3 linked regions of the Rhinolophus ferrumequinum genome follow. The protein of the gene in region 3 purifies or fractionates together with the protein of the main gene of each other region. This does not show direct contact. Links are inferred from orthologs where the notes say so. Each region holds a gene or a part of one and is shown on either strand. Other genes may lie near its edges.

Region 1 (7,935 bases), on a different chromosome or scaffold from region 3:
AAAAAAAACCCACAAAAAAAACCTCTGAGAAAAGATGGAAGGCAATGCGTGGTTATGAGCTTGGGTTTGGACGTCAGACCTGAATTGAAGCCCCCAGCCTTGCCATTTATCAGCCGTGGGAGCCTGGGTGAGTCATCTGTCTAAGTCCAGTCCAGTCTATCAAATGGGGACAATGGTGGTGTCTCCCCCCACCCCCCAGGGAGGCCACAGAGCACTGAGCACAGCCCCTGGCTCAGAGCAAACACTCAAACATGAAACACTCAAATGATGACTAGTTGAGAACGCGCTCAAAGTCTCAAATTATCTTCTCTTTGGAGACTGGTTCCAGCTCCCTTGACTTCTGACTGCATGACTAAGAGGTAAAGGCAGAAACCATCCTGATCTAGCTAGAGGCTCCAGAAGAGACAAAGAAAGCTCTGATCCTCTCCGGAGCCCACTCCTCCAAAGGCCAGTCATATTAATACTAAGAGGCCCTTGAAAAAAAGGTTCTGGCTGTGTTCATGTCCCGGAGCCCGAGTGACAGTGAGCTGAGGACACAAAGCAGAAGACAATAAGCCTCTCACAACAAACCTCTCTACAGAGGATGCCCCCCGCCCCCATTGCTACAGGGATCCTGCTTTTCAGCTTGTTTCAAAGGTTTGATTTAATTTTTCATGAGGCTGGGGAGGGGAGGTAGGAGAGCGCGAAACTGGTGACGAGAAACAGTGAGGTAATTAATACTGGAGGTATCGCTTACCGAGTCCGTTCCATCAGAAAAGAGGTTTATTCCAGATGCATGAGCAAGGCAGCTCTCTTTTCCAGCTCCCCTCAGTATACTGTTGCTGATTCTAAACAGTGGCCCTCCACTTGGTCGCACATCAAATTCCCCCGAGAGCTTACAATAATACTGAGGCCTGGGGTTCTCCTAGCCACGAACTTTTTCATATAACTGGTCTGGGGGAGTGGCACGGGCAACAGAATTTTAAAAATTCCTCCAAGTAATTCCAACGTGCAGCCAGAATTGCAACCCACTGTTCTAAAGAGTTCTGGATGCTTTAATTAGGCTACGACCGTGTTTCCCCCAAAATAAGACCTAGCCAGACAATCAGCTCTAATACGTCTTTTGGAGCAAAAATTAATATAAGACCCAGTCCTATATTATATTACATTACATTATAGCCGGTATTATGTTACATTATATTATGTTACATTACATTATATTATACCCGGTCTTATGTTATAGCAAAATAAGACCGGGTCTTATATTAATTTTTGCTCCAAAAGACGCATTAAAGCTGATTGTCCGGCTCGGTCTTATCTTCGGGGAAACATGGAATTAACTTCATGGTCTTGGAGACGCTCCCTCACCTCTTGCTCTATTGGCGCAGTGGATTCCGGACCATACATGAAAAACAAACCACAGCATCACAAACAAAAGCAAGCCTCTCTACTTCACAGCTTCCAAACCACAGACAGGAAGCAACTATATATACGCTTAAAAAATAAAAGTCAGCCGATGGGGGAAAACTGTTGACTTGAAAGGAGACGTAGGCAAGTACAATAAGAAGAAAGGTACCAAATCCCTCACCCCTAGATGTTTTCTATACAACTCTGTGGAACGGTCTCCCTTGTGTGTGTAAGTGGGGGAAATATGTGTGTGGAATGTTAGATTGAGTTTGGCAAACCTGGACTGCAGTTCAGTTCCACTACTTCCTGTGTGATGTTCACACTAGTGATTTAACCCAGTCTCAGTTTCCTAACTTGTAAAACGAAGGTAAAGTCATGATCTTCATAATAACCCCCAGGGAATGAATGTTAAAGTACTTGGCACCTGGTTCTTAGTGTAGGTTACCTTCTGCTCCTCAAGCTTTTCTTAAGACCAAGATTCTCCAGCCTTGGCTGTACTAGAATCTCTTGAGCATGTCTAAAAAGTACTAATGCCTGGGCTTCACCCCAGAACAACTAATCAAATTTGGGGAGGGGGAGAGAAGGTTGTGGCAGCTCAGAAACTACTATTTGAAAAGTTCTTCAGGTGATTCTAATGTGTGACCAGAGCTGAAAGCCACAAAGCTGTTTCTTTAACCAGTTAGATCTAACAGTCACTGCCTTGTGGCTAATTATAAAAAAGTCTGTCATTCCATTTCAATCAAACTAAATTCAATTATCCACATAAGTGTAGCATGATTTTGCATCCAAAACCTATAGGACTAGTACTGCTATATCCAAGTGTTCTACCAAATTATATTCTCTTCCTGTGTTTAGCACACGATTGACCTATTTCTCTCAATGGTCTAGTGAGGAAACTGTTGTCACCTATCCCACTTTTTAGGGGAGAAAATTAAGAATCAGAACTATTAGGGTACTCTGACTCCCAAGCTCATGCCCTTTTCATCACATAGACAAAATCAAGAAATCATTGCTCTAATCCCCTGCAGGGCTTGTTAAAACAGATTGCTGGGCCCCACCCCAGACTGATTCCGTAGTCTATGGTAGGGGTTGAGAATTTGGCCATTTCTTATAAGGTCTGGGGACCATAATCTGAGAGCCACTGGTGGTCCTGATTTTACACAAAATGGAGCAGACCGAAGTCAGACACTGGCTGACTCATTTTTTTTCAATAGTGTCTTTGGGACTGATCTTCCTTAAAGATTGCACTTTCCGGGGAAGAGACATGGGCAAACTAGTAAAAAAAGAGGGTCTGGGCTGAACTTTGCTCATTCCCACCCCCGGACAAAGTTCAAGAAACAGACCCATGAAGGCTCCCAAGCACACATTAACTTCCCACAGCTAGGAGACTGCATGTGAGCCATCCCCAGCTCCTTAGGTGTGGCCACCTCCAGCCTCAACGGAAGTGACCATATAGGTAGGTACCAAGGCGCCAGTTAAGACGCTGGACTCCGTGGCGCAAGTGCCTGAACTCAGGCCTCTGGCATCCCTTCGGGGAGTTCCAAGCACGCCAAGCACACCCGCCTGCCCACTCCCTCTATTTTCCCTCCACTCGCCTGTGTGTTCAGACGCACCTGGGAGGCCCCCTTCGCCATTTCCCCGAAATCCAGCGACTTCTGCAACAACTTCCCAAACTTTCCATCCCAAGGAATCCCACTTCGCTCTCTCATAACCTACCTATTCTCCTTCACAACTCCCCCAAATCTCATTTTCCACCCCAAATGTCCGTCTTCAGTGACATCTCTTTGTTCTCTTTACAATTACCAATTCCCATTTCCAACAAGCACTCAAGACTCAGGGACACCCCCCTCCCACCACACACATATCTACTCCCCAAACCCAAATGCCTTTGCCTCTGTGCCCAACAACCAGGGACCCCGCAATTCTCCACCCAAAGCCCTACCCCCACCCCCGGCCTCGCCCCCATCCAATCCCCCAACCGCCTATCGTCTATCGCGACAGCCCCCATCGCACCCTCTCCGATCGGTCCCTTCCCCCTCTACTCTGCCTCTGCCCCGCTCTCTCCGCCGCCCAGAGCCCCCATCGGTGGGCACCGCCCTCCTTACCATGAAAAGTCGGAGAACGCTGGAGCCTCCAAACCCGGACTGACGGAGGCAGGAAACACCCAGCTAGCGTGAGCCAGTGGTTGGGGGGGGCGCGGGGGCGGGGCCGGGGCAGGAACTTCCTCTGTCCCTACCCCACTTCCGCCCCGCAGAGGGCGCCTTCCTAAAAGATCCGTTGTAGTGCTTGAGGTCGGCGCATTCCTTCCCACCTGCTTGGCTGGAGTGGGTTGCATCTCCTCTCTGCTGGAGCAGGCGTGTATCCCGCTCCTGAATGCCCCGCTTTTTCAGCTTCCAGAGAGGACGACAAGCTACAGGGATATTGTCGTTCCCGGTTGGAGAAGCTCTGGGGAACTATCAGTGCCCGGAACTGGATAGTTGCTTCCCGGCGGAGCTCTGAGAACGAACACCCCGGGGCAAGATGGCGGTCGGGTCTCTGTCGCTGCCCCGGGTCTGGCAGAGCTCAGAGGTATTGGGCTGAGACGACAATAGCTGCGGCTCCGACCCCGAGCGCGGGGGCCTCGAGCGGATAAAGGTCTACGGCCTGCGGGTAGCGAGTGGGAACAGGGTCGTGGGTTCACCGAATGGTGGGGCCGGGGACTTTAAGGGAGGTGGCCTTGGGGCCGGGTCGCTGCTTCACCTGGTCGGAGGGGCTGCTTCAGTAGCGTCTGGCTTTCGCGTTTCGGGGAGGGGTGGGGGGGGATGGGTGTCTCTTCGTAGCCTTTTCTATCTCTTTTCATCTCGGGGCCTTTATAAACAGACTAACGCTGGGTGGAAAAGATTTGTTATTGTTGATGCCGAGGAAAGAGGCGGGGTCTTAGGAATCACCGAAACCGGAATTGGAATCCTGTGTTCTGGCTTTGTGACCGCGGATGAGCTCCCTCACCTCTCAGAGCCTCAGTTTCCTCCTCTGTAAAGTGGAGTAATTAGCTCGGTTCACAGAGTGTGTTGTATAATGCCAAGTTGTAGTACCGTGCTTGACACCCAGCTCAGTAAAGGCCTCTGGTGTTAATCATACAAATGAAGAAAAGCTTTTTTTATAATTTGAGTAACTTAGCCCCATGGCAGCCTTGCATTCGCAGCTTTTCTTTGCTGTTTGTGAGTGAGGGAGTCTCTGGGTCTTGTGTGTTTCACTTACAAATAAATAATAGCTTTGGAATTAGAACTGAGTTCAAATTCTGGAGCCTAGCGACCTCTGACAAGTCATGTCCCTTCTCTACATCTCTTTTTCTCCCTCGGAAGTTGGGGTTGATAATAGCACGCTCCTAGAGGGTGGTGGTCATGAAACCTAGCTGCCAGCTGTTCCCCCATATAGGGAGAATCCTTTGGGGCTCAGTTGGTATTTATGGTACTTCACCTTTGAACGATACGTTTTGGATTCTCTTGCTCTTTCATAGTTCTCTGTGGAGTTGGCCTTCTCCAGAAAAGACTGATTTTGAGCAGGTCTCACGTGAATGTAGAAGTAGAGGAGAGTCTGAGCCCTGTCTCTTCGTATGAAAAACCCTCTCCTCTGACGCTTGCTAACGGTCTAACCTGGGCTGTGGGAGATACTAAATGATCTCACAGGGTTGCTGTTCTTATTAGAGGAGATCATTTAGAAAGGACCTGGCCCATAGTGGGTACTCAAACAACATGTTTTCCTTTGGCTTTTCATATGATCATAGTTATCACGGATTCCTTGTTTCCTGATCTTCCCACGTATGTCACTGTTGTTTCCCTAATGATTGTAAGCTTTTTAAGGACAATACAGTAAAGCTCACTTATGTGCTTTCTGCTTTCAGATCCTCCTTATTAGGATTTTCCCACTTAATGCAAATTATGCCATGAGGACTAAATTGAGGTAGAAGAAGAGCAAATGTTTCATGTGATCCTTTTAGCATTCCTAGGAGGTAGGTACATTACAGATAAGGAAACTGAGGTCTAGAGAGGATAAGTAACTTGGTCAAATGAGGTAGAATCAGAACTAAAAAGAACCAAGGACTACGTTGTCTGATCCAAGGTTGTGTCTGTTACATACAGCCTTTTTTTTTTTTTTGATTCTCCATAGCATTTAGCAGAGTAAGCACTTAGTAAATACTTCACGATATGTTTTGTTTTATTGATGGATTGTGGTAAACACAATACAGGTAGAGACTGTGAATAAGAAAGAGTTAGAAAAAACTGCATAGTATAGACTATCATATAGTGTAAACAGAAGCCAACGTATAGCGTCTCTGAGGGGAAGGTAATCTCAAGGAAGGATCTTATCCTGAGAGGCCACCTGGGAGAAGTGAACGTTTTGAGATACAGCAGGTTCTTGAATAACACTTTGTTCAAAATCATTTCATTATAACATTGATGAGATGCCGTAGGAACTTAACTCAATTAGCCTGTGGTAAAACTGGTTTCCTTATATGTCATTTTGCCCCAGTTCCAAGAACCTATAGACTGTTAACTGAGTACTCACTATAGTCTAATTCTTACAGGTACTTAGTCACCGTTTACGTGCAGCCTCTTATTTTTCCACTGAGAATAGGCTCCCTCTTCTCCATCCCTATAAATGAGGGACCATCTACATGTTAAAGAAAGAGCATAGCATTGGGTACATGGCTTGGGGCCCTGCTCTTTTGCAGTTCGCAGGAGCTTGAAGCTATTATCCAATCTGAAGAGAGCCAGGGGTTCATAGCCCAAGTCACAGGACTGATGAATCTTAGTGTATTTAGGGATAGGGGGAAAAAGCTAATGGGTAAGGACTATAAGGGTCCCCGCATTTTTTCCTACCTAAAGAACCTTAGTGGCTGTACGGATAGGAGCCTCTGCCAAAGACTTTAAAAACAAAATCCTTGTGTCTAGAAAAATAACACCTCAGACTTACTGACTGTGTGCTCTGTCAGCCACCGCAGTAGGTACTTGATGCACATTATCTCATTTAGTCCTCATAACCATCCTCTGAGCCAATTAACAAGAAGACAGAAAGGCTCGGAGAGCCTCCAGTACGTGGCAGAGCTAGGTACTGGCTCCAGAGCACAAGTGCCTCTAAGTACCACGTTGCCTCTCCGGGTGCTTTCTGTGAAAAGCTTAGAAGCTAGAGACCACCAGTTAGACGGGCGGCTGGTTGCTCATTGATTAGAGTGTGGTGCTAATAACAGCAAGGTAGCCGGTTCCATCCTCGCGTGGTCCACTGAGACCACCAGTTAGAGAAACAAACTTTCCCACAATTCCACTCTCTCAAAACAACTGCTCTTACTTAACATGTTGGTGTATTTTTTTTTTGCAGTTTTGTACCTATGTGTGCATATGCATTTTTCATTTTCGTTATGTAATCGGGATCATATTGGTTCACAGCCAGCCCTTTTTTCCTTTCTTGGGTGTAAACATTTTTCCGTATTGTTAAAAATGTCAAACATTATTTTCAGTGGCTTTTTAACGTTTCACCTTGTCTGTTATTCTTGCTTACCATCACAAAGCATGTAAAACTTTCATTCAGTAACATCTTTGGGATTACAGTTGACCCTTGAACAGTGCGGGGGTTAGGGCCACCACCCCCATTGTGCAGTTGAAAATCCACATACAACTTTTGATTCCCCAAAAACTTAACTACTAATAGCCTACTGTTGACTGGAGGCTTTACTGTGTGTAATGTGTGTAAACGTAAACGATTTACACACATTTTGTATGTTACACATAATATACTGCGATCTTACAATAAAGTAAGCTAGAGAAAAGAAAATGTTAAGAAAATCGTAAAGAAGAGAAGATACATTTACAGTATTCATTGAAAAAAATTTGTGTATAAGTGGACCCACAGAGATCAAACCTGTGTTGTTCAAGGGTCCCCTGTATTTTCAACCTATTCCCTTTAAACCGTGTGGGCTGGGGAGATCAAGTCTATCGTTTAGACCAAACAGTAACTAAAGAGACACAGTGCTGTCTTTTTAAAGCCAGAGACACTGTATTTATTGCTTTTACCCAGGAAGATACATGATGTCCTACCTATAAAACTTAACCCTAAATCTGGATTTTTTTTTCCTTCTGCTTTTGCCAGAAAAGACAAGCTCCTCTGAAGCGAGAAGCTGCCCTTGGCCATGAGTCCTGTGCAAGATCATTAATGATTACCTGGCATTTCTGCGACATAGGCAGGTCCTCAGGTGAGCTCTCTGGACTTCTGCTGGGGCAGAAAGAGTGAATGATTCAGAAGACTGCTACCTTTTCCCCTTCAGTCATCTTTCCCTCCCTCCTGTTGTCAGGTGGACTTTGATAATTTGTTTCGAGAATTCTTGATGAGAGGCCCACTTGATGGAAAAAGCCTTGTGTTTGGTAGATATGAAGCAGTGTTGAAAAGGGGCCACAGAGATCCCTCAATTTGTCAAAATGGGAAGAGCCCCGCATGAGCCTTTTTTCTTCTTCGTAATGTTTCCATATGGGTGCTGCTTTGAGTGAAGTAACCTAGTGAAGAGATTGTTTTCCAGGA
Region 2 (7,688 bases), on a different chromosome or scaffold from region 3:
AAAAGGACATTTTTCTGATTTGATGCAGAACAGAGTACATTTACTGCTTGCTCAGCTCATAGCCTTGAGGCAGATCACACAAAGTTCAGGATGCACAAGGGCAGGAGCAGCACCAGAGCAACCACCGCAAATCAAATAATCTTGTTAGAATGACTTAAGTTGGGAGACTGAACTTAAAATCCTATAGCTCTGTTCAGCATATTTCTTTGCTTTTATAGTATCGTAAGTTTTACTGAACACAAAGGTAGAAAATAGCAGAGCCTAAATTTAGAGCAAAAGCCAAGTCTCTGAAACCTGAACTTTGCTAAATAATATGTATAAAAGCAACTCTACGGAAAATAATATACAGGCAGAAAAAGTCGTATGTTTCATCTGCAGTAACGATTTAGTCAAATGACAAACTTGGTTTGTCAATTTACTATGTAGTGCTTCTATCTCAATTCAGTATGACTATACAGACATTTATTCTCTGCTATTGAATTCCCATTTGAATAGAAATAGCTGCTAGATAAAAGAAAATAATTTAAATTTAGAAACAATTTCACTATGCCTGAAATTCCAATTTAAAAATTATATATGTGTATGTATGTATATACATATGTATGTGTGTGTGTGTGGGGAGAGAAGTCTCTCCTCCCTCTCTCTAGCGATACAGACTTAGGGCTATACTGTTTTTTCAAGTTAGTATTTTTAAATTTACTATTTCTCCTTTCTGCCTAAGAAATTTCACACATTCTGAGTGCACCAACACAATCTGGTGAGTTGGCAGCTATGTCAAAAACTATGAAAAAAGGGAGGTAGCTAATAATACTTGGCGACTTTTTGTTTAATATTTTAGGTTAGAGCTGGCAGCCTCCCTTTGATGTTTTGCAGTCAAAAGATGAAAACTATCAACTTTGAAGCATAATGAACATAATTATACATTTACTACAATCACCTACAATTTGACTTACACAACACCACAAAAGGACATCTAACCTTTTTTTTTCACAGATCTTTTTACATTTTTTAAAACAGCTGGCTGTGTTGAATACATTTTCAGAATGCATTTAACCATTTGATAAACATACTAAGTCAAACAATACAAATAACATCAGTTACCTTTTTAATCTAATAACTGTACTAATCATTGAAAGAAGATACAGCTGAGGGGGAATGATAAGATCGTCCATATGCACTGCAAAAACATTAAGACCTTAGTCCTAAGAATGATCTGAAGGTGCTGAAAGAGGTGATTCTCTAGAAGGTGACCCAGGGTTTTCTTCAGGTGGAAAAACTGTGAGAGTACAAGCTCGAATGCCACCAAGTGACTCTGGAAGGTCAAAAACTTTATGCCACTCATCCTTTTCTGGGTCATATTTCTGGACAATTTCTACCATACAACGATTATTCCAAGAATATCCACCTACAACATAGATTTTATTTTCAAAGACGGCAACTCCAACATCACTTTGACCCCTTAACATCGCAGCAATTGGTGTCCACTGGTCAAGGGTTGGTGAATAGTATTCACAGCTTAGTACATCATCATAATCACTTGTTCCTCTGAAGTGATTGCCACCAATGACATAGAGCTTGTCTCCAACTGTACACATGCAATGCAGACCTCTGACTGTAGTCATTGGAGCCTTCTGTGTCCATTTGTCTGTGTCTGGATCAAAACACATGAGCTCGTTTTGGAAAGTGTCATGAGTAATTCCTCCTGAAATATACATTAAGCCTCCATACACTGTTCCAGCATGGCCATAGTGGGGTTCACTCATTTTTGCAACATAGCTCCACTCATTCATTCTTGGGTTGTAACATTCTACTGTGGCCAGTTCACCAGCTGCACTTCGCCCACCAACAGCATACAGATGTCCTTTGAGGGCACTCAAGTGGAAGAACGTGCGCTTTTCATTTAATGAGGCAACCTGCATCCATTTATTATACCGTGGATCAAATCTGAAAACTGTATCAACAGCAGTTTTTCCTTTCGTATCATAATTACTTTGACCACCAACTACATAAAGAAAGTTTCCAATGACAGCAATGCCATGCTGGTAACGAGGAGCATCCATAGGGGCTAAAGATCTCCACTCTTGTGCCCTTTCATCATACATCCTTAATTCTTTACTGACAACCAGCTGCTGCCTCAGAACTCCTCCTAATGTAACCAAATGTGTTGAGTCCGATCGAATGGCAGTTCTATCTGACTGCATCACTGGCTGCATATATGGCATCATTTGGTAATTGCTAGCTTCCAAAAGCAAATTCACACAGGTATTGTCCGTTCTCATGAAATCCACTGTCTGCACATAATTGATGAGGTCCTGTGGTGTCATCAGTGGAAATCGAATATTCTTCATTAATTTTGCAGCATAATCCATTCGAGGGTCTTCCAACCTTAGCCAGCGACAGGCAGCCTTGAAGAGCTCAAGTTCCGTACAGTGCTTAAGACTATTACTGGAAAGCACAAAGGCAAGCCGTTCAAAAGGGAGTTTTAGAAACTCCCCAGTACTCAATAATGCAGGAAAATTCTTCAGGATAAAATTATTGACATATTTATCCACTTCTATAAGGTTATAAGTGTTAGCTATTCGCCCAACTTCAACACAGTTATCTAAAGAGACTCCTGAAATAAGAAACACTTTACAGAAGTCCAAAACAGGTAAAATTTGTAAAAAGCTGGCAGCTTCAAGTGTGTCCTGAAGATTGTCCATATTAAGAGAAAGTTTTGCAGTATAAATAAAATCAATTATTTTCTTCAGACCAACCTTGTTCACGCCATGAAGCTTAATGCACATTAAATCTTGTTCTTTCATTCCACCTGTAAACATAGCTTTGAAATAATCACTAGCAGACGCCATCATAGCTCTGTGAACAGGGAAAATTTCATCTCCATCACCTGGTACCAAAGTCACATCACAAAGCAATCCTTCTATTCTAAGCTGATCAAAGCCTTGCAATACCACCGAACTGTGCGTATTGCTGGTAAAAAATCGTGTGGTTCCTGCCTTGCAAGGCTGTAAATGGGCGGAAACGCCCATTTCGCCGTTACCAAGAGACACTTTCATGGGAAAGCCTCTTGCACAAAGATGCCAGAGAAAGAAGTTAAAACCGGAATGCTTTCAAGGAACCGAGGATGTCCAAAGCGCAGGAGATCCGCTTTCCTTGTCAAGGGCAAGCAGTCACCGTGGCACCCTTCTGAACACACCAATCAGTCATCCACTTAAAAGGGTTCTGCAGCAGGACCACAAAGGGCTGCGGACATCAAATCTGATTGTTATGCAGATGATTCATCATCTGAAGGCAGTTAATTGACCCGGTTCACCTTGTCTGGCCTGCGCTGCCGCTCCTCCAGCAGTTCCGCTCCAGGCCAAGGGGGAGGCACCGCCACGTACTGCGGCTCCGCGGCTCGCTCGCCGGCGAGGCCGGGCACCTCAGCGAGCAGCCTGCTGCGTCCTCCGCCGTCACTAGAGCTTCGTCGTGGCCCGGGCTTTCTTGGAGCAAGGGCCTGGAACACGGGTCTGGAACACGGGCCTTAGCCCCCGACGCCCAGCCGGTCCTTTCCGGAAAGGCCTAGTCCCAGGATCCCCCGGGCTAGGAGCGGCCGCAGCACTTACTGCGGCTGCGCGGCGGCGCGGCCGTCCAACTCGCCAGTGGGCGGGGGCGGGGGGAAGGGGGAGGAAGTGCGCTGGGGACTGGAAGGGTAGGGGGCGGGGGAGCGGAGCTGTGCCGGGTGGGCGCGAGCCGGCCCTCTTTGGGTCATATTCTAGGTGGGACTAAATAGGCCAGCACGTAGGTTATGCTGCACGTTTGGTATAAACTGCACAGCTTCTGAGCGCTCCACCCCCCACCCCCACCCCAGGCACACTTTTTGTTTAAGGTTTACACTTCCTGGCTTCTGCCCTTTGAATAACAATGAATTACGGCTTTTATATAAATTGAAGTAAAACATAGCAGAGGAGGGCGGGGGGAGGGGGGGAACGATGCTTACAAGTTTTCCTCTTTAAAAGACTTTTTCATTTATATCCCACACCATTTAATTGACACTTCAATTATAACTGTTTTCAATCATTTAAAACACATATCATCTGTCTCTTTAAATACCAAATTGTGACTGTGCTATGTAAATAATATAGCCTGTATTTTTGCCTTCCAGTGGAATTCCACCATCAGTAATTCTCCATGCTTTTGTTTTCCATTCAAATTTTTAAACGGCTACACAATTGTCCGATAACTATACATACCGGTGCTGTCCTTTCCTTTGCCCATTATTTGTTCCTGAATTCTTGTCCTCCATTGTTTTATAGAATCTGTAATTTACAGAATCTGGGCACAAAACTTTCCCATTTTGGGATAAATTCTAAGACATAAATATTTCTTTCCAAAACTCACAATAGATGTTTTGAATGTGCTTTTCCCTTCTATTTATCTTTCCTTTTATAGATATTTTATTAACTTGAATTTCTTTAATTACTAGTAAATTTAAATTTGTCATATGAATAAATGTATACTTTGACAAAATTCTTCCAACATTTTCCTCAGTTGGAAGTTACAACTGTCTTTTAAATTCTTCTAGTTTCTTTTATGCATATGCAAACTAATCAGAGTATAGCTATATTCTTTTTACACTCTCCCAATTTTTATGTAAAAGATACTTACATACCATACTCACTGTTCTGCACCTATCTTTTTTTCACTGGAAGATCTTCCCATATAATAGAGAACTTTTTTTTTTAAGTTTATTGGGGTGACAATTGAGAGAACTTTTTAATCTTTTTTAAGCAGTTCTATTTTTACCCACGAATAGGTGTGTCATAAATTATTTACTCATGGACAGTTAGCTGTTCCAGTTGTTTTCTGTTGTTTCTGAAGGATGGCAGCAAGATCCCAAAGGCTCAGACCACTGCTATCCTCCACCAGATGTCTCAGCAGATCTTCAATCTGTTCAGGATAAGAGGTTGGCTAGGATGAAACTGTACTGGATAAATTCTTTACTGGACTTTATCAGCATCGGGAAGTCCTAGAGACCTGCTCGATGTCTGAGTTGGGGATGGAAGCACTCTCCTGAGCTATAAAGACTCCATACTGGCCCTGAAGAGGTACTTCCAAGGAATCAGTCTCTGTGTGGAAGAGAAAACAGAGCTGCTGTACCTGGGAAGTTGTGAGAGGAAGAAATCATGCTATCTTTCTCTTTATTATCAAGCTTAACAAAAATGACTAAGAGCTAAGGAACCAGACCCATGCTCTTCACGAAACTATTATGGACAGATATAATTCATCATACTCCCAAATGTTTAGCTACTTCAAAAGACTGGTTTTTTTTTTCTGCCTGCATCATGAAATAAGTTGAATCAAATTTGTCACAACACTTATTGGTAGTGTTACTGAACCACCTCCCAAAATTCAGGTCCATGTCATTGATGTGCTAGTAAACAAACATTGAGACACTGGAGCTTGGAGATACAGAAAGGTTTATTCCATTTGTCCAAAGCAAGAGGATGAGAGAGCAAGATCTCTCAACTCTGTCTTCCTCAAAAAGCAAAAGTAGGGAGTTTTTATGTGGCTAGGGAGCAGAGGAGGGGGAATTTCATGGAACCAAGGGGAGAGTCTGTATTTCTTTAGTCATAGATAACATTTTGTGCAACCAGACTTCTGGGTGTCAGCAGCTGGTTGTAACTTTTATTCCTTCTGTAAAATAAACTCATAAATTCTTCTTGTGACCCTGGAGTTATCTCCTCTTGCTTGACAAAGAAACAGTACGTCAGCAACTTAAAATTATATTGTGAGAACGAGATGAGCTGGATTGAAGAACCAAGATTCTGCAAAAACATCTCATAATTGTGCATCAGTGACGTTCTCTTTAAAGCAAAAAGCAAAAATTGGACATCTTGTGACCATCACCATTGTTTAAGGTATCATTGTTTTGTGCTTAACTAGCTGTATTTTCTATAAAAGTGTACTTTTGAACATTTCTCCTGGAACTTGCTTTACAGGCAGGCCTTAATCTTTGACTATACGCTGTGTGACAACCAAAGCAATTGAAACATTTAGTTAAAGCCTATACCTATATCTTTAGAGTCTCTGATCTACCTAAACATGTTAATTGTTAACTGATGGTTTCAGTAGTATTAAGCCACTCTAAGTTAAAGCATCCAGTTCCTAGGGCGCCCATCCTAGGTGGCCTTTTTAATGTGCTTACTCGTATGTACTTAACTATCTATTTTACTATATTTATTGTATTTCAATATTTGCTTCCATATCATGTTCACCTGTACATTGTGCTAATTACATAAAAAGCATTCACCTTTATATTTTTTAATTATTCTCTTAATTATTTCAAGTTTTACTTTCAAATCTTTTTTGAAATTTTATTTTAGGTATTTTTTTAAGGAGGGTACAGCTCACAGTTGCCTATGCAGGGATCAAACCAGCAACCTTGGTGCTACCTGCACCACGCTCTAACCAACTGAGCCAACCGGCCACCCCTTCAAATCTTTTTAGGTATGTTTATTTTTAACCAATGCCAAGACTGATTTTGCAACCCCAGTTGAAGGATGGAGTTGAATTTCATTCATTCATTTCATTCAAGCTATATGTAACACTTGAATCTAAATCACAGGCTCTACACTCCCTTCACAGGATAAAAAGGTGAAGAAAGAAAACAAAGGGACAGCTGTCTTGGAATCATAGAATGTGTAAGCTTCAGTTGCTAAGGAAGAAAGAGGAAACAAAAAAATTATAAAGTACAGGTTTACTTTCTAGAATGACTGCCAAAGGCTTGGCATGACTCTCTGCCTTCACTGTGTGCCTCGGGAGCTCCTGAGTGTGTACAGGAGAGCAGAGGCTTAGCAGCTAGGACACCTCAGAGCAGAAGAGAGTTGATTGCAATGATACGTCTCACATTCTAACCCAGTTTCCCCAAGCCGTTAGTCTTGAGGTTCCCCACACTCTTTCGTTATAAAGTTAGCCAACAATTGACGCTTGGGCTCAACTTGCTTCTGAAACAGAAAAACAGTGTGGTGGGTAAAAGACGGCCACAGCTTCTTTAACACTCTTTCTACTCCTTTTAACCTGAGGGGCCCCTGTGACTACTTAGACCAATCTGTTTAGCTCAAAATGTATTCACAAATGATCTGATAAAGTCTTATAAAAAACTCTGGGAACTTGGGCTGGATTGAAGTTGATATCTTTATTTTGTAAATAGGAGCTTAGATACGACGGTCACACAGTAGGCATGTCTTCTCTCCGGTCAGGGCTCCTTCTCCTGCATCACTCGTTCCCTTTGCCCTTCTCTAGGATAATCACAGCAGGAGGGTGCTTACTCACCTAAGGTCTAAGGGTCAAGACTTCCCTCTAGCCGGCCCTAAAATGCCCACTATGGGGATAACTGCCTTGGGAGAGAAACACAAGTGAGTGCCGTGTCTCTAGAACGCCATTGTTATTCTTCCCTAGAAGGCCAAGAACCTGGAGTCTTTCCTCAGCAAATGAGTTTGTAAAATGAACTAATGATCCCCTTGGAAGGTCAGAGAGCCTTGAGGCCACAATAAAAGGGGAGATGTCAGGAGCTCACAGAGAAGCACCAGCTGCTTAGGCAGAACGGAAGCTGATGGCGTGGAGCCAGAAGGGGCTTTAGAGGGAAAATTTGGAATGGGGATCCCATGTTGTTTGGAGACATGCTTGCTGATTTAGGACTAGGTGTT
Region 3 (8,328 bases):
TTTTTTCCCTTCCTTTTGTTTTGTTTCTATTTCCTAATAGCATTGTTTGTCCAAAAGTAAATTTCTGATTTGCTGTATCTCTAGTACGTATTTTTGAAAATTAAAGACATTTACATCTGACCTTTGTGTCTTTTCTACCATCCAAGAGAGAACACAAATAATCACCAAGGGTTTGAAGCTAGCAATAAATAGCTGCTTAGGAATAACAAAGTAAGTTCTTTTGTACATAATTTGATATATGAAACTATTACAGAAATGTCAGTGGAACAGTCCCTTCTTAGCCTGTCAGATTTTGTAAACTGACCTACTTAACTCTGCTTCTTGTCCTAGACTCAGAATATTCAATCCCAGCTGACTAATTCTTCTTGGTGCTCATCTACTGGTTTTAACTTCTCAATTTATAGGTCTCAGTGAAGCCCTAATAATAATAATAGCAAGAACTTGCTCACATTTATTATGTACTTACTTTTTGCCTTATAGTGGTCTAAGTAGTTTACATTTACTTAATCATTTAATCATCAGAATAACCCTATATTATTATTCTCATTTTATAGATGGCAGAACTGACCCAGAGAACATGTATAACTTAAATTCATGTCAGAACAACAAAATACTCTCTAAATATTTAAATCAAGGCCTACTTAATTCGAAGAATGGGTTATACAGGTAACGGAAGACCTGAGAAGACAAACAAGGACAGTGAGTTAAACCAAGTTTAGCAACAGCAAGAACTCATTTTGACTCTTAAATTGGAGGGATGATGGAAGCAAGCAAAATTTCCACCAGGACCTTGAACCAGGGTAGGCCAGTCTGGTGAGAGCTAGAACCCCCAAAGACATATGGCCCAAGGAGATGCCACCCAAACGGAGAAGAAGGAGAAAGAGAAATAGCCTGGCTTTTTTTTTTCTCTCACGCCCTCTCCCTCCTTCCCCCAATACAATATCTACGTCTCTCATTGGCCAAATCCATTCTCAAACCAGCTGACCTGAGAGCATGGACTATGCAGGGATAGTTTTTTCTGTGATTCAGAGAAAAACAATAGAAATGCATGGAATTTACCTGATAGCAAACAGGCAAGGATTATCCAAAAGGCTTAAGTTGCTTAAGATCATAGAGCGAGCAGTCCCTGGGTTGTTCTTTGGGATTTGTATATGTGTAGCCATCATGGGCCCTGAATATGGAAGACAGAGGTCTTGGGAAGTGACATTAACTTATATAATTTTCTCTGTCCATATATGTCATAGGATAATTTCAGGGAAGTGTATGCCTACTACTGTAGAAGAGGAAGAAAGGTAAGAATGAGAAAGGGCCTGGGGACTAACCATTTTCATTGCCCGAGAATGCCTTTGGGCACGTTCAAGGTAAGGGAGCAAGTGATTCACACAAGAAATCACCACTTTTGTGCTGGCTCTCAGTTGATAAAGCGTAGCTGTTATCCAAGTAGGACCTTGCTTTTAAAGCAGAACTTGCAAATCAAAAAAAAATAGTTCACATTAAACTAGATTTCTATTTCAGAACTCTTTCCCCCAAAATTATTCTAATTGGAAATGTCAGTATTGGCAGAAAATGAAGAGGTCTATCTATCCTTTAAAGTGTTAATACAGCTCGTAGCAATATATGAGGTGATAGGATGGAGCAGGAAAAAGGATATTTAGTGGCACATAGGCATGAAGTGTAGGATTAAGTAAAGTAGATTAAATATGACTGTTTCGAGCTGAATTGTGCTCCCCCAAAATTCATGTTTTGAAGTCCCAACCCCTAGTACCTCAGTATATAACTGTATTTGGAGGTAAGGTCTTTAATAAGTTGGCTGAGTTAACATGAGGCTGTTAGAGTGGGGCCGTAAGCCAATATGACTGGTGTCCTTACAAAAACAGGAAGAGACACCAGGGGAGTATGCGCACAGAGGGTCAACCATGTATGAAGAGGCAGCCAGAGACTGTCATCTGCAAGCTGAGGAGAGAGGCTGCCAGAGGAACCAATCATGCTGGCACGTTTATCTTTGACTTCTAGCTCCAGAACTATGAGAAAATAAATTTCTGTTGTGTAAGCCATCCAGTCTGTGATATTTTGTGATGACTTCCCTAGCAAATTAAAAGGTAATATTTAAAGATTCTCAATGGGTAAGGCACCATTGGCTGCTGGAGATACTAAAATGATATGCTTTGTAATGTAAAACAACATGGCTTCCAGAACCACAAAGCTGTGCAATTGGAATGAGAAGTTCAAATTAGACATGCACTGCAAAAGCATCAATAAACTTGGTTTCTCTCCTTCATGGCTGCCCACTTCATTCAATAAGCATTTTATTGTGACTGTATCAGGCAGATAGCACTTTTACAGTTTTGAATCTATGAATGCCCTATCACTGAATGGTACCATTGTGACATCATAGAAAGCTCCTCTTTGAATAACGAGGTTTAATAATAATAATGCTTATGGTTTCCTAATTGGTGGTGGTGGGGGGGAGTTATCCCAGGATGTCAACATACTTACTTAAAGAAGGAAAATAATTCTTAACCTCCTTGAAATAGATTTAAGAACCACTCTTTTATCATGGAAATTGTTCAAATCTACACTACTAATTAAATGATTCTCTCTTATTCTTGTCTTACAAATGTGTTTTAGTAACATATGAAATTTTTGGTGTCCAGAAATGGATTTTCAAACCCTTTCTAAATAAAGAGAAATGAATAATCAAGATAGAAGAAAACCAATTTCCTTGGTTCACATACAAGTCACAATAGTGAATATTGTTGGAAACATCATTTTGATCCAAAATAGAAAAATAGACTTGTTAAAAACTAAATTTCACATTTTATAAGAACTCTATCACTTTATGTGTTTACCTGAATGTCAAATATCAGAGTAATGGAACAATTTAGGAATGATTAAATAGTATCCTGAGGCTATCTTACTCTAACAACTATATATACTAAGGCTGACTTCTGAACAGCACAACTGACACTGAGCAAATTTTGTAAATAAATTGGGATATCTGGCAAAGGGTCTTATGTGAGAATTTATCTCAAATTCTCAAATTTCCATCTTTTACTCATTCCAATTGTACTCTTTTTTAAAAAAGAACGCATATAAGGAAACTTGAAAATTTCTTATTAAAGTTCTACAAAATAACAATTAAGTTTAAAAAATATTAAATAGGAAACCATCAGAAGCAAGCTGGGAATCAATGCTCAAAGTTCGCAAGTATGACTACCCTCTAAAGAGCTTTTATTTGGGTATAAAAATGGGTATGATAATTTTTTGTGTGTGGAATTAAAACATTTAATTCAAAGAAAGATTTATTGCCAAATTCTTGAGACTAATCTTTAGTATCGGGCAATATCTTTTTAAACCACAGTACTAGATTTTATGTTAAATTTAACTTTCTTAAATTCAAATGTCATGAACCAGATAGATTTAAAACAAAATCTATAATACAGAGAAACATGAAGATATGTCGGAAAGAACTTTGGTCTATAAATGAGGAAAATGGGTTCTAGTATGCCTTCTTTGACAAGTCACCTCTTAGGGTCTCAGTGTTCTGATAAAAAATTTCTGCATTCTATCAGGACTGTTGCATTATTCCTAAAATCCTGGGTTTCCAACCATCTCACTACTTTTCAAATTCTTCTGGCAAACACACAGGATATCAATAAAATAAAGTTTGTAATTTGTCAAAATCAAATGAGCAAAATATGTGAAGACTCGAGGGAAAGATCTCAAAAGGTGGTTAAAGACATCTAAGGTACAAAGTCAGTTGTAAAGTGAACAGATTTGTTACAAAGACTTAAGAAGTACTTGATTCAGGATTATTAAATAAAACTAGATAATATTTCAATGATCATTTACCAAGTTTGTTTTTCTTGTCAACAGATTAAAAACCGGATTTGCATGTGTGTATTGTGTTTGGGACAATATGCACTGATCATTCCGCCCCTCCTACCGCAGCACCCTCACCTCCAATCCCCAGGTTAACTCCTGAACGTCAAGATATTTTTGAGGGTAGAGATTGCTGTCTCAATGTTCGGTTTCCCTTATAATTCCATATATAGTCAAGTATTCCATGCTGGGTGGTTAATTGATAGTTTGGCAACTGGAATACTAAAATTATGCACCATGTAGGCAGTGATACTTCTGTAATGTCTGTTGTATAGACCGTAATTCATTTACATCAAATCTTGGAGAAGTAAACCTTATTTCTCCAGATCCTGGCAGTGACTGGCACATGTACGAATGAATGAAGTAGACCGAGAATGCCAATAATCATTTATGTACTGATTACTTAAGGAGAAAAGTGCATTCCAGCCTAAGGACTTCTGACAGCCCTACGCTTAAATCACTCTTTTCCCTTAGGGCAAGTTTATTGCTTGTGAAATTCCTAGAAATGAGAGGGCAGAGGACCGCAGACGTAGAAAGGAGCCGGGGTTCGGGACCCAAGCGGTTTGGGGACGTTACGGGGCCTAGACAGAAATGTTTTGTCTTGGCGGAGTTGGGAAAGCCGGCGACCGGACAAGTCCAGGGCGCAAGCAGGAACGCAGCCCTCCGCTCTCGGCGTGGAGTTTAGCGGAGCCAAGTTCTGACGTCGCGTAACCTGCCGCAGGGGCGGCTCCAAGGCCCAGCTCGCCAGGCGCGCCCTCGCCCCACCCGGGGGCGCCGGGCCCGCGCCAGGCGGGGCGGGGCCGGGACTGGGGGGCGGGACCCCGGGGCGCTCCGCCCCGCCCCGCCGCCCCGCGGGTCACAATGTAGGGTTAGGGCGGCCGGCGGGCGGGGCTCGGCGGGGGAGGAGCCGCCGGGCGGGGGCGGTGACGGCGGCTGGGGGAGGGGAGGGAGGAGGATAGCGCCATTCTGGCCGGCCGCTCCCTCCGTTCCCTGTGCCTTCCCCGCAGTGGCCCGTGAGCGCCCGCGAAGGAACGCGCGCGCGCGTGACGCGGCCCGCCTCGCTCGCGCCCTCCCGCGCCCCAGCGTCCGCCGACCGCCCATGGCCGGGGCCGCGGCGGAGCAGCCGCGCTGAGGCGGCCGCACGGAGCTGTGGGCTCGCCGCCGTGGCCCTCGCCGTCCGCGCCGCGCCGCCAGCCCGCGGTCCCCGCGCACGCCTGCCGCCATCGCCTTCGCGCCTGCCTGGCCGGGGCGCTGTCCTCCCCGGCCGTCCGCGCCGCTGCCTGGAGCTCGGCGCAGCGTGGCAGCCAGGGCCGGCGGAGGCGCGAGGAGCCGGACGCCGCCGCCTGTGTCGCCGCCTGTGTCGCCGCCGGTGCCGCGGGGGCCATGACCGTGGAGCAGAATGTGCTGCAGCAGAGCGCGGCGCAGAAGGTGAGGCGAGCCCGCGAGCCGGCGTAGCCCGGCCGCTCTCCTCATTCCGACGTGCTGTCCGCACCCGCCGGGACCCCGAGCTCCCCGGCCTCCCCGCCCGCGCTCGGGCCTCCGCGGCCCGGGCTGCCTCCCCCGCCACCCGCCGCCTCTGCCGGTGGTCTTCGGGGGTGTCGCGCCCAGTGCCGGGCTGCGTGTGGGAAGCGGGAAGTAGTTAGCGGGTTTCAATCCACTTCCTTTTGCTGATTGTTTTCCTGCAACCAACGGAGCCTGGTATTTATTGGGAGCGACTCTCACATTCCTACACTGCTTTATATGGCTTCTTAATTAAACTTTATTAAAACAAGAAGAGGAATAGCCAGTTGTCATCCGTTCTGAACACAGTTTGTATTTCGAAGGCAGGGACATTCCAGGCCTGCTAGTTTGCAAAAGGGTCTCCTCCAGAATTGAATTGCTTGCCTGGCAGGGCAGGTACGTTTACCAGGTGGACTCTATGTACAAGTAGAGGATTTGGTTGGTTCCTTTTCCTCTTTCGGTTTCTTTTTCTTTTTTTTCTGAAACTGCCCCTTAAGAAAGGAAACCTTCCTGGCCATGTTTGTTCCAGGAATCTTTTGTCCCCTAAGTTTGACCTTGTTCCATCGTTCACCCTTGATTCTTGCCTCAGTCACACATTCAAATGGTCACTCAAGTTTCAAAAAAAAAAAATCTGTTTGTGAAGCTTGAGATCGTTCGTTGTGAGTAGTGAGAGGTGCTCCTTTTATTCTAGATTTTGCTTTCAGAATCTCCAGTGCACTATCATGGCTTGAACTATGTTCTGAAGAGTAGTTGTTGGCTATGACTTATTGTGTGTGTGTGTGTGTGTGTGTGTGTGTGTGTATGTGAGAGAGAGAGAGAGAGAGAGAGAGAGAGAGAGAGAGAGAGAGAGAGAGAGAGAGAGAGAGAGAGAGAGAGAGAAGCATTTGGACAAAAAGAAAACAGTGCTTTAATCGTGTTAGAATTATGGAGATAACTGGTTTACTGTCAACGGCTGCCAAAGACGTGTTTGGCTTATCTGAGCGAGGGATAGTGCCCCGCCCTGTTACAGGTTTGACGTGGTTATATCCTACCTGTGCTTGGTTATAGAATAGGGCCTCCTGCCCTAAAATGGGCTATGCATTTATTTACAGCCTGCTAAGTTTTTGCTTTGAAATTATTTTTAGAATTTTATGATGGTACACGAGGTAATTGAAGATGCTCAAGAATTTTGGAAAGCAAGGATAGTGCATTGTTATTTTAGGCACTTTGAGAAAGTTGTCTTGGAACTTGTGTATTGGTTAACTGTTACTGGTAAATTTAGAAGATTATTGCACACTGCAAATTATTTGCAGAGTGAAATAATTTCTAGATTTAATAATAGGACAACAGTTCATCTCCTAAATCCCCTCTATTCTATTCTGAATATCTAAAACTTTAGTTTTTGATGTTTGAGTATATAATAAAGTGTTAATACTTAGAACAGGATCTTGGGATCATATGTATACTAAGTAATGTTTAATAGGTTTGTTATTTTTATTTATAGTTCTTTTCAGTGTCAAATATTAAAGTCTATTTCAAAGTGGAAAATGTAGCTAATTCTCACGTCTCTTAAATTTGAACAATGGCAAGAAATTTGTGAGTTTTTTATTAATAAAATTGATTTTGACTTAAAGTATTTCTTTAGTATAGAACCAAATACAGATCTGCATGCTTCAGAGTTTTGTGCATAAAATTGTAAGATCAGGAATCAAATTACTGAAATTACTTGATCTTGGTCATCAAGTCCAATTTCATAGTTTAATGGACCCTCTCCTTACATAAAGACAATAGTTGTTAAATTTAAAGTATTATCATTATGATGCTATTTTTAGAGTGTGTATGTCAGATCATTTCATTGATATTGGGGAATTGTTTTAGAGCATTATAATTTATTATACTTCTGTCATGGTATTTATGTGTTTTTTAAAAGAAACAATGTGTTTGTTTGCTTCCTGTATTTATGTACTATTACTTTGTTACTCAGATTAGAACTATTTTAAAAATATTTATATGGGTATAAATACTTTATACTGTCTACTTCAAATAAATTGATAGATTTAAATCCACCAAGCTAGTAACTAGGAAGTGGACTTCAAGCTAGTAACTAGGAAGTAAACTTCATACTTTACAAGAAACAAAAGTGAAACTCTTTGTTTTTATTTCTAAACTTGATGAATTACCAGTAAAGTGAGAGTTGTCTAGTGCGTATTGCACAACCAAAATTTTAGTCTATTTTCTGCTCTCCTTAAAAAAATGGTGTGTGTGTGTGTGTGTGTGTGCGCGCGCGCGTGCACATGTATAACATTAGTTTTATGTAAATAGCTGTATCTGGTGGTTGGAACAGTTTCCTGTACTTTCAATATTCTTTTTTTGTTTTCTTCCAGAAAGATGTGTGATTAGTGATAATTTTTTTTAAAGCAGCACAACACAAGACTTTCATGGGTCTTTTGTTTACCTACAAAGTAGCTTGTTACAGTATAAGTCAAAGGGCTTCCTTTTTCTCTGATGTGTTCTTTGCTTGATTGCTGAAGTTTGGCCATGCCAGTTAAGAAATGTAGGAAAACTGCAGAGCTGCTTTTCTGAGGTTTGGATAATGCAAATGAGGGGAGTTGGAGGCAGATTATGTACAGTTAAAGCTTGTCATAGTTTGATCTTGAATATGTATCTTCAGCTTTTGTGCTTTATAGTTTTCCTAAGTGTAGGATCCTTGGATCTTAGAAATTTGATACATAGACTCCGATCCCAAGTGAGGATTCTTTAGGACAGCAATGGAAGGCTTCTACCTAGGGACCTAGACACTGTTTTATAGAATGAAGTGAACTGGATACTATTTACATTAAATGCATCCTTCTGAGTTGAGTAAAATGTAACGTTCATTAAGAGCAAGTATTTTGCCTCTTTTGTTTCACCCTTTGGCTTAGAACAGTTCCTTGCACATAGTAGGCTTCAGTAAGTATTTGATGAAGG

What was found.
Region 1: the proteins of USP25 (region 3) and KCTD10 purify together in Homo sapiens (affinity purification with mass spectrometry; 4 studies listed by BioGRID and IntAct, counting the BioPlex papers as one, with this or other methods). This does not show direct contact. The link is inferred for Rhinolophus ferrumequinum from reciprocal best matches to the Homo sapiens genes USP25 and KCTD10.
Region 2: the proteins of USP25 (region 3) and KLHL9 purify together in Homo sapiens (affinity purification with mass spectrometry; 3 studies listed by BioGRID and IntAct, with this or other methods). This does not show direct contact. The link is inferred for Rhinolophus ferrumequinum from reciprocal best matches to the Homo sapiens genes USP25 and KLHL9.

What each region holds. Positions count from the first base shown.
Region 1 is NC_046308.1:14,112,358-14,120,292, reverse strand, and holds the start of KCTD10 (BTB/POZ domain-containing adapter for CUL3-mediated RhoA degradation protein 3), read right to left. Parts: upstream 3,593-7,935; 5' UTR 3,495-3,592; coding exon 3,492-3,494; intron 1-3,491. UniProt on the Homo sapiens protein: Substrate-specific adapter of a BCR (BTB-CUL3-RBX1) E3 ubiquitin-protein ligase complex. The BCR(BACURD3) E3 ubiquitin ligase complex mediates the ubiquitination of target proteins, leading to their degradation by the proteasome.
Region 2 is NC_046295.1:18,597,713-18,605,400, reverse strand, and holds KLHL9 (kelch-like protein 9), read right to left. Parts: upstream 3,593-7,688; 5' UTR 3,057-3,592; coding exon 1,203-3,056; 3' UTR 224-1,202; downstream 1-223.
Region 3 is NC_046285.1:10,681,923-10,690,250, reverse strand, and holds the start of USP25 (ubiquitin carboxyl-terminal hydrolase 25), read left to right. Parts: upstream 1-5,104; 5' UTR 5,105-5,265; coding exon 5,266-5,310; intron 5,311-8,328. UniProt on the Homo sapiens protein: Deubiquitinating enzyme that hydrolyzes ubiquitin moieties conjugated to substrates and thus, functions in various biological processes including inflammation and immune response.